2 linked regions of the Cricetulus griseus genome follow. The protein of the gene in region 1 purifies or fractionates together with the protein of each later gene. This does not show direct contact. Links are inferred from orthologs where the notes say so. Each region holds a gene or a part of one and is shown in the gene's direction. Other genes may lie near its edges.

Evidence for each region.
Region 2: the proteins of Znf219 (region 1) and Cdk2ap1 purify together in Homo sapiens (affinity purification with mass spectrometry; 3 studies listed by BioGRID and IntAct, counting the BioPlex papers as one, with this or other methods). This does not show direct contact. The link is inferred for Cricetulus griseus from reciprocal best matches to the Homo sapiens genes ZNF219 and CDK2AP1.

What each region holds. Positions count from the first base shown.
Region 1 is NW_023276807.1:207,073,017-207,077,487, reverse strand, and holds the start of Znf219 (zinc finger protein 219), read left to right. Parts: upstream 1-1,447; 5' UTR 1,448-1,657; intron 1,658-1,789; exon of another isoform or gene 1,790-1,974; intron 1,975-2,183; exon of another isoform or gene 2,184-2,415; intron 2,416-2,464; exon of another isoform or gene 2,465-2,823; coding exon of another isoform or gene 2,824-2,898; intron 2,899-3,224; coding exon of another isoform or gene 3,225-3,578; intron 3,579-4,146; coding exon of another isoform or gene 4,147-4,203; intron 4,204-4,293; coding exon of another isoform or gene 4,294-4,404; intron 4,405-4,471. Other genes in the region: Tmem253 (transmembrane protein 253), read right to left, coding at 2,824-2,898, 3,225-3,578, 4,147-4,203, 4,294-4,404. UniProt on the Homo sapiens protein: Transcriptional regulator. Recognizes and binds 2 copies of the core DNA sequence motif 5'-GGGGG-3'. Binds to the HMGN1 promoter and may repress HMGN1 expression. Regulates SNCA expression in primary cortical neurons.
Region 2 is NC_048597.1:104,074,013-104,078,529, reverse strand, and holds the start of Cdk2ap1 (cyclin-dependent kinase 2-associated protein 1), read left to right. Parts: upstream 1-1,536; 5' UTR 1,537-1,630; coding exon 1,631-1,907; intron 1,908-4,517. UniProt on the Homo sapiens protein: Inhibitor of cyclin-dependent kinase CDK2. Also acts as a component of the histone deacetylase NuRD complex which participates in the remodeling of chromatin.

The sequences.
Region 1 (4,471 bases):
TGTAGACCAAGCTGGTCTCAAACCCACAGTGTTCCTTCTGCCTCTGCCTCCTGAGTGCTGGGATTCAAACCAAATTCTTGCAACATTATTTGCATAATGCAGAAACTGACGTTTAAATCTACAGAACTCCAGGCTGAATGTGACCCTTGAATTAAAAAATGTTTCATTAATATTTTAAAATCAGAATTTTTACACATAAAGTCAGAATTTCTGACTTCCATTAAAAAATGTGGCATTCCCACAGCCATACGAGGCAGTAGTTGGTGTTGAGTACATACACCCTTTCACACCTGTAGTGTGTGCCATGCGTTCCCTCCAACCCTGTCATTTAGTCCCTATCTACTTCACTCATTTACACCACACCGTTATCTACCTTATTAGACAACGTATTTTTGACCTCTCAAGTGCCTCCTAATTTTAAAGTACTTTTCCTTGTGCGACACTATTTCAGCCTTGTGCATCAGAAAGGTAAAGAGGTTAAATAGGCTATAATGGCTATGTGAACAAAGTATAGTCCAGACAGATTTTACTTACCCAAGCAACAGAACTAGCATCTAGGTTCTCCTGACACCCAGTCTTAATTTTTCCCATCCAGAATTTCACGTAGAAGTTGGCTGAACTAAACAATTAGAAACGGGTATAACTGCTAAATAGACACATTCCAACTACTTATCGATTCAAGGTTCAAATTCCTAACCTTTTCCTTAAATTGTTTCTGCTTCCCTTCATTTTCCACATTGCCTTTCCTATGACATTGAGTGTGGCTTTATGATTTGCTTTGACCAATGAGTTGTGATGGAAGTTAACATGCATCCATTTGGGGAAAACCACTGCAGAATCCACGAACAATTCTTCAAGCTTAGTTCACATTGTTGGTAACTGTGTGTGTGTGTGTGCAAACTTCATGGTGACTCATGCCTTTAATGCCATCACTCACAAACACGTGAATCAAATGGGAGTTCAAGCAGGGCCTGGTCTACATGGCAAGTTCCAGGCAGCCAATAAGAAGATAAAAAAGGGAGCCTCAGCATCTAAGGGATCTTAATAATTTACAACGAGCAAAGCCCCTTGCCAGTTACTTTGGACAATAAACGAGAAATAAAACCACTGGGGTCTTGGCCTTGATTATTCAGCATTGTTAAGAGACAACACGTTCATTGAGCATCTCTTAAGATCCGGAATGCAATTTCCAGGCTACCGGTCACAACAGTAAAGGCTGGAGGACAGCAAATTGCTGATTCCCTCTATAGTTTCTTTGGCCACCACGTCCTGACTTTGAAGAAAAATATTCTTTTCAGAGCCCTTCACACATGATTCCTGCAGTTTGATTGGGGGAGAGAAGAAATGGGGGAGGCCCAGATTGGGTTCTCTCCATTCCAGAGCCTGATCCCAGAACTGTCTCCACCCACTAATACTCACACGTAACTTTGTCATAGGGCGACTATTACCACTCCCAAGGTGTCACAAACAGAAAGGATCTGCAGCTGGCGCCACTGCAATGTCAAGGCAAGCCAGCCAGGCTGCGCTCTAGCCTCACTGGTACCTGGGCTTGCCTGAGCCCGGAGAAGCAGCATTTTCTAGGGGAAAGAAGCCTTCTCAAGTGGGAACAAAAATGATGTGAGGCGAACACCCATCCCGGGCACTATGTGAATTTGGGGTGAGTTCTCTTAGGCCTAGTTCATTTCTACTTTTCGGCGGCTCCTAAGCTGCCTCCTGGTGTTATCGGGATCCACCATTTTCCTGGGCTTTCCCCCAAACCACCGAGCCTGTCATCTTTGTACACTTGCAGAGGTCATAAGCGGTGTGGGCTCAGTGCAAGCAGAGCTTCAGCGACCAAACGGCTGCAGGGATCAAAGGCCCGCCGGGGGCGGCTGAGAGCCTGAGCCTGCGCAGTCCTGCTCCCGCCTTGGAAAGGGTGGCGGCCACGCGGGCTCGGTCCACCAGCGTGCTCGCTAGAGGCGGGAAAAGTCCTAGGTCGGTACCCCCGCCTGCCCAGCCAGCCTGTCCTCTCCAGCGCCCGGTCCGGGGGGAGGGGGCGAGGAGGGCCGGCGCCACTGACTCATCATCTCCAACCCCCTTCTCGCGCGCGCTCCAAGTCTCAGGACTTTGAACCTGGGCACTGGCGCGAGGGGCGCGGCGGCAGCACCTGGGGAAGTGCGGCTCGGCCAGGCGCCGGCCCCCTGCCTTTGCCAGTATCCGCAGCTGCAGGCGGGAGGGCTAGAGACCCCCAGCAGGCTGCGGTTGCCTGGCCGCGGTGGCGGCACCCCTGTGCGCCACGGCCCGCCCGGCTCCTCCCTGCACGCGGGGCCAGTGGTCGCGTCCGAGGAAACTCGGCTAGGCCCTGCTCCCAGCGCCTCGCGTCACTCAGCAGATGCACAGCGCCCCCGCCGCCGAGGGAAGGCCCTTTATTTTCCAGTAGGTCACGGGGTAGCGGGGCATCCTGGGATTTGTAGTCTGGTGAATTAGGCAGGACCCGGATCCAAGGGAGACCTGGAGCACAACCGACGCGGATTCCGGGTTGGCGGGTGCAGCAACCGGGCTCGGAGTGGATGGGATTGTGAAAGGTGAACAGACGAAAACAGTGAGATGAGGCAGATGTGAAGCTGGATGGAGAGGCAGGGAGGAAGAAGGCCAAGAATGCAAGGGAGGAAGCAGCTTGACAATAAGGGCCTGGTTTGAAGGGAGACTGAGGGCACTCCTCCGGGCTTCATGCACATCTTGGGGGAGTTCAGTTATATTCCGAGGGAGGGGCACAACGCAGAAGTGTCTGGAGAATGCCCCCCTTGGCGTAGGAGGACAGTGGCACCTGTCTTGACCACTCACTCATCTGTTGTTTCCTGTGCTAGCCACCACGGGACTACTCTCCAAACCAGAAACCTCCTCCACCTCAGTGAGACCCTGAAAAACAGATGTGAGCAAATTTTAGGGTCAAGAAAGGAGAAACCCCAGGTAGAAGCAAAACCCAGCTTTTCGAGTCTTTCCAGTAATACATTAAGGTAGCTTACTAATGTTTGCACACTCGTGTAGTCCCAGTCATTAAATACCCAATTCCTTTACATCCATCATTTGGGGGACTAACATCCAATGCCAGAAAGCCAGTCAGTTTCAACCCTTCATTTCCCTACTGCCTCACTATTTGCCCTTAAATGGCACTGACTAGTACAGCCAGAAGAAAAATTAGCTGGAAGCTTGCTTCTTCATGTTTTCCTCCCGGCACTCCCTACCTCCTGTAGCTCCTGGTAGTGCAGACTTGACCTTGTGAAGCATCCTGGCTTCCTCTGGCTCAGCAAGAATAAGGCATATGCTGAGACCAGCACTCCTCCTAGGGCGAAGGCCTCAGCGCTGAGCTCTAGCACCAGCAACCCTGTCAACTGCAGGAGCAGGGTGAGGATGCTTTTGGGGGGTACAATCCCTATTTCCTTCTGCCCTTTCTTCTCCCCTGTACCTTTCTTCGCCTTCACCAGTACCTGGGAGGGGGCAGTAGGAGCAGGCCCCAGTGCTGTCTTCATCACCTCGATCACCACCACGATGAAGCCCAAGATCAGGTTGAAAGTGTTGGATATCATCATGGCCCGCACCTACCAGTGAGCCAGCTCAGCCCTGCCCAGCCTAGGGGACTCATGCCAAGCTCAGACTCCACCTACAGCCTAGCTGAAAACAAAACTCAGAGGCAGGACTGGTGGTATAGGTAGGCCTGTAATCCTTGACACCTGGGAGGCTGAGGCAGGAGGATCAAAAGTTCTAGGCCTGACTGGACTCCAGAATATGTTCAAGACCATACTGAGTAAACTTACTGGGGGGGGGGAGCTAGGGCTTTAGCTCAGGGGTAGTGTTTGCCTATTGTTGTGCACGTGGCTCTGGGTTCAATCCACAGCACACACACACACACACACACACACACACACACACACACACACACACACACACGCAGAAAAAAAACTAACAAAATCCTGCTATTTCCCTTCTAACATTCTAACAGGACCATCAGGCCTCTGACATTTTTACTTTCTTGCTTTGGTCAGGTACAAACAGCTGAGAGGATAAGTTGCTCTTTGGGTTGAGTGTGTGTGTGTGTGTGTGTGTGTGTGTGTGTGTGTGTGTGTTGGGCAGTAGGGGGACAGGCCTGTGTTCTCTCCTCTTCCTCACCTTCCAGATGCAAGGTGCTCTCCGAAGCTCAAGGGTGATAATCCCAGTGAGGAAACCCTAAATGGTGAGAAGGGCAATTTGTGAACTCCAGTCTTATTAGAGATGGGTTCCCAGGACCTTCCTTTCACCCTTTGTGGTAGATCTTACCGAGGCTCCAGGCCAAAGTGGTAGTGCTGTGGCCATATGACAAGCAGAGCTCAAGCACGCAACTGAGATAGTAAAGGGCACCATGGCTATTGCCAGCCATAGCTGGCTCACCTGGAGGCCAGAGTTGGGTCATTAGAGGGGACTGTCAGATTCTCTTTCCTCCTCACAATGTTTTCAT
Region 2 (4,517 bases), on another chromosome or scaffold:
ACAACAACAAACCAGGCCAGGCATTGTGGCTCAAGCCTTTAATCCCTGCCCCCCTGGAAGGTAGAAGCAGGTGGATCTTTGTGAGTTCCAGGCCAGCATAGTTTACATATTAAGCTAGCTAGGGATACATTGTGAGATCCTGTTTAAAAAAAAAAAAAAAAAGTCAAGAATCTTACTGATGAATTTCTGTGTATTCATTCATTATGAATTGAAATTGTCCTGTTGTGGATCCGGTCGTTTAAATACATTATTGGAATTAATTTTATGCCATGTTCTGCTTTCAAAAATTGACTACTAAAACGTTTAAAATATATATATTTTATATATATTATTTTATAATATATATATATATATCGTCTTATATCAGCCATTGTAGAATGGGTTGCATTCATTTCTTTATAAGATAAAATGTCACCAAGAAGCCTTTGACAGAGCAATTCTAAGGATGCTAGCAGGGGTGTTGGTGGAGCGGGGGTGGGAGGGGAAGAGGCGGTCCCCTCCCCTGCACCTTTAGTCCCAAAGGGAAAGGGAGAGTAAGACCCCGGTGGTGGTGCCTTTTTTTTGTCTAGCAGAGAAGCTGACGCCGTTGTCAACAGATTCACAGATCATGTCTAAATATGACTAATTAAAAACAAACAAACAAACATCAAAAAAGCCCAACCAACCTGCAAACCATGGCGATTAAAAACAACAGAAAAGGGTGGGCGTTTTATGTAATTTGATGAGCATTACTATTCAGGCAGAACTCCAAAATATAGTACCTTCGGAAGGTTATTCATCAAATCCCAAATACGTTTGGTGATGACGTTTCAGTCAGTTCCTAGGATGGGTGGGAGTGTGTATGGGGTGGGGTGGGGAAGGGGGGGTGTCTAAAACATGGAGTGTAAACTCCGGGGAGTCGAAACTTTGCCAAGTTCATTCTTGAATCCTTAGCGTCTAGAGCCGTGTCTGACACACAGTAGGTGCTCCCTTGAAAAATCCCAAAGAGTTCCTGTGCCAAATGCTGTGGATGCTGCGAGGGCGAATTTGCTGGAGGAGGAGGCGTCTCTTCATCCAGCTTTTGTCAGTCTCAAAGGAATCTTGGGTTCCCAAAGGGTTAAAAAAAAAAAAAAAAAGCCCACTTAATCCAGGCAGAGACATGACATTTTTTTTTTTTTCGAAATAAATGTCAAGAACGGGTTATTCTAATTCTGGGACAGAGCCAGACATGGACATCTGGAATGATCTACGTCCAAGTAAAAATAAATAAATAAAAAAAATAAGACAAACCACCAAAAAAAAAAAAAACCCGAAAACCCAATCGCCACCATTTTCTCCAGGTAATTTTCCATCCCTGCCCCCACAGTCAAGAGACACAGGAAAAAAAAGTACTTCTTCCATCCAGCCTGGCTGTTTAAGAAAGAGGAAGGAGCGGGCCAATGAGCGGCGCGCGGGAGGCTGGGGCGCCGCGGGGGCGCCGCGGGGACCGCAGCCCCCCAAACTTTGGCAAGTTGCGGGCGGCGCGCTGCGCGGGGCGCGGCCGCGGGGAGGCCGCCCCCTCGACGCCCGCCGCCCCCTCCCGGTTCGGGGCCGGGCCCAGCACCGGCTGGGCTCAAAGTTTGCGGCCGCCCCTGCGCCGCGCGCCCGATGTATGGGTGATATACTGCGGCGGCGGCAGGGTGAGGGACGGCCATATTTGCCGGCGCGGCCCGAGCCGGCGACAACAAAAAGTGCGCGGGCGCCCGGTGGGCGCTCGGACGGGCGCGGGGACGTGGGGCCGCCCGGCCCGGGCCTCGGCCTCGCCGTCGCCGCCGCCGCCGCGCTCGCGCCTGGCCCGGCTCTGCCCGGGCGCGCCCGGCCGCCCGCGGGGATGTCGTACAAGCCGAACTTGACCCGCGCACAATGCCCCGCCGCCGCCCTCAACGCCGGTGAGTGGGCGCGGCCGCGCGCGCGCGCAAAGTGCCGCCAAGTTGGGGGCTCGCGCTGCCGGCCTCGGCCCGGGGCTCCCCGAGTCGCGCGGCGCCTGAAGGCCGGCGAGCTGCCCGCGGGTGGCGGTGGTGGTTGGGGATGTCCGCGGGCCGGGGCAGCGCGGCGCGCCGCCTCAGCCGCCGCGCCGCCCATGATTCCCGCCGCCCGTGCCGCAAAGTTTCGCGGTGCGCCGGAGCTCGGCGGGGCTGCGCGCTCGGGCCCGGGTGCGAGCGGCCACGGATGGCGGGGGAAGCAAGGAACTCGGGCGGCCGGCCGGCGGGGCGAAGAAGGCTTTTTTCCTCAGCCCCCCCTTTTTTTTTCTTTCCTTAGGATTTTTGGGCGGCTCGGCGAGGGGCCCCTGCCGGCGGGAGGCGGGAGCGGCCGGCTGCGCGGGGAGCGAGGCGCGGGGCGCCGAGGGTCGGTGGAGCGGGACAGGCCAGGGCCGGGCCGCGTGGCCGCGGGCCCCAGGAGGGAGCCTGGCCCGGGTCGCGGGCGGCGGGTGGGCAGGGGACCGCAGCCTGGGGGTGGGAGCGGCTCCTGGCTCCCCATCCCCCACGCCCTCGGGAGGTCCCTGGAAAGAAGTTGGAGTGTCCGGGCCTCGTGGGCACTGCGGGCGGCGTGCTGGGTCCCGCGGGTCTCCATCTCGGAGTCCCCACGTGGGTACGCGCCCCAAGGGCCGCTCTGCAGAAGCCCGGGGGACCCGGTCTCCCTTCCCCGCTGGGGCTGGCGCCTCCGGGAAACTCCTGCAAAGTTCCTAGACAGCTTTCGGCTGTGCAGGGGCTAGTCCCGAACCCCGAGGGAACCGGGGCGAGGGGTGTGAAACCGTGGCGCTCATAGGTCACCGGTCTTGTGTCCCCTCTAGTAACCCCCTAGACATTTGGCTGTGAACAGACCACCCCCTGAAACAGACGCGAGATAACGGGGTGCCAGGAGAGCTAAGGCCTTCTGTGGGAGTTGGGGTCCGAGTTGGTTATGGTCGCTGTGTCAAACATACTACCCATGTCGGCACTTACAACTTGGGGGTGGTCTTGTGTTGAAATGTTGATTCTAGAACTCCAAAAATCCTCTAGAGGACCTCGAAAAGCCCTGGACATGTGTTTTTAAACTTCTTGGACACTGGCTGCTCTTTGGGATTTACGGTGCCAGCTTGGGAGAGTTGAAACACGTGGGCACAGAGCCCCCCAAAGCATGCAGCCACTGTATCACCCCAGATGGTGCCACCCCCTTTGGGTGACAGGCTTTGTTGGCAGGTAGGATTTTTGTCTCCCAGCCTTCTTGGTCAGTGCCTGGGATGGAAGGTTAGTGGGTTGCGTTGTCAGGCTGTGGGAAGCCAGAGACAGGCTTGATCTGGGGTAGTTGCCCCAGGGTCAAAAATTGGGACCTTTTGGGGTTGTGGGTCACAGTGGCAGGCAGCCCCTGGGACTCTGAAGCCCTGTTCTGGGCTTGCTAGCACCTGTATTCAGCTCAAGTTCTTTTTCTAATGACGAATGCCAGAGGCGGAGCGGGGTCTTAAGGTGTCCGGCATTTTGGTGGGGCCCGCCCGCCCGCTTGCCAGTATTACTTTGCAGAAAGCCCTGCTCTCCCCTGCCATCTGCATCCAAGATGGACTCTCACAGTGGCTCCTCCGCCTTCCCTGTCATCATCCCTCACGCCCTCCAGCCCTGCCTCCTGCTCACTGAGTTGCCAAGCTGCGGCCTGGCCGGCGGTGGCAGTGGCGGAGTTAGACAAAGCCCCCGCCTCCCCCGCCCGAGAGCCCCCCCCAGGCGCCCCAAGTGGCGGGAAGGCCGCCAGCTCCCCAGGCCCAGGCCGCTCTTTGTCTGGCGTGGGGGCGGGGAGCTGCGCCTGGCCCCAGGAGCTTCCTGGCCTCTGCCAAGCCCTCCCGGCTCTCTGCACACTGCGCTCATTGTCTGAGATGCTCCACACCGGCTGTGCTGACGTGGAGCTGCCTCCCTGGCCTCCCTCAGCCCAGGTGCCAATATCTTAGGGAAGGAGAGGGCTTGAGTGGTGCGGAAGACCCTTCCACCACGACTTCAGGGGTGCGGAGGGGGGGCGGGCTGATATCTTCCCCAACACTGAATATGGGCCTGGCTTTGACATAATCAGTCAGGCACATCTCCACTCCTCCAGGGTGGTGGGAAAGCAAGCTCTGAGATCCTCCACCCATGTTGTGGTGTTTCTCATTCCTCCTCTACACCCCCAGCCCCCTAATCCCATCCCCAAAGTCATTAAAATGTGGGATAACTCAACTATTGGGAAGTTTCTCAAAGATGGAGAAACAGAGGCCCACAAGGGCCTTGACAGAGCTCCCACAGCCAGGAGTGGAGTGGCACTGCTGGGACAGACCCCCAAGTCCAGGAGAGAAGATGTGTCAGGGAGGTGAGAAATAGCAAAAAGCGTGGGAAGCACACGAGGTGCCCCTGGTGCTTCAAGGATGACCTTGTATGTGGTGCTGGAATCCTCTAAAGGCCTCAAATGCTCTATCATCACACACACACACACACACACACACACACACACACACACACAGACACAGACACACTCACACTCGAGCGCTCGGGGTCTATCTGAGC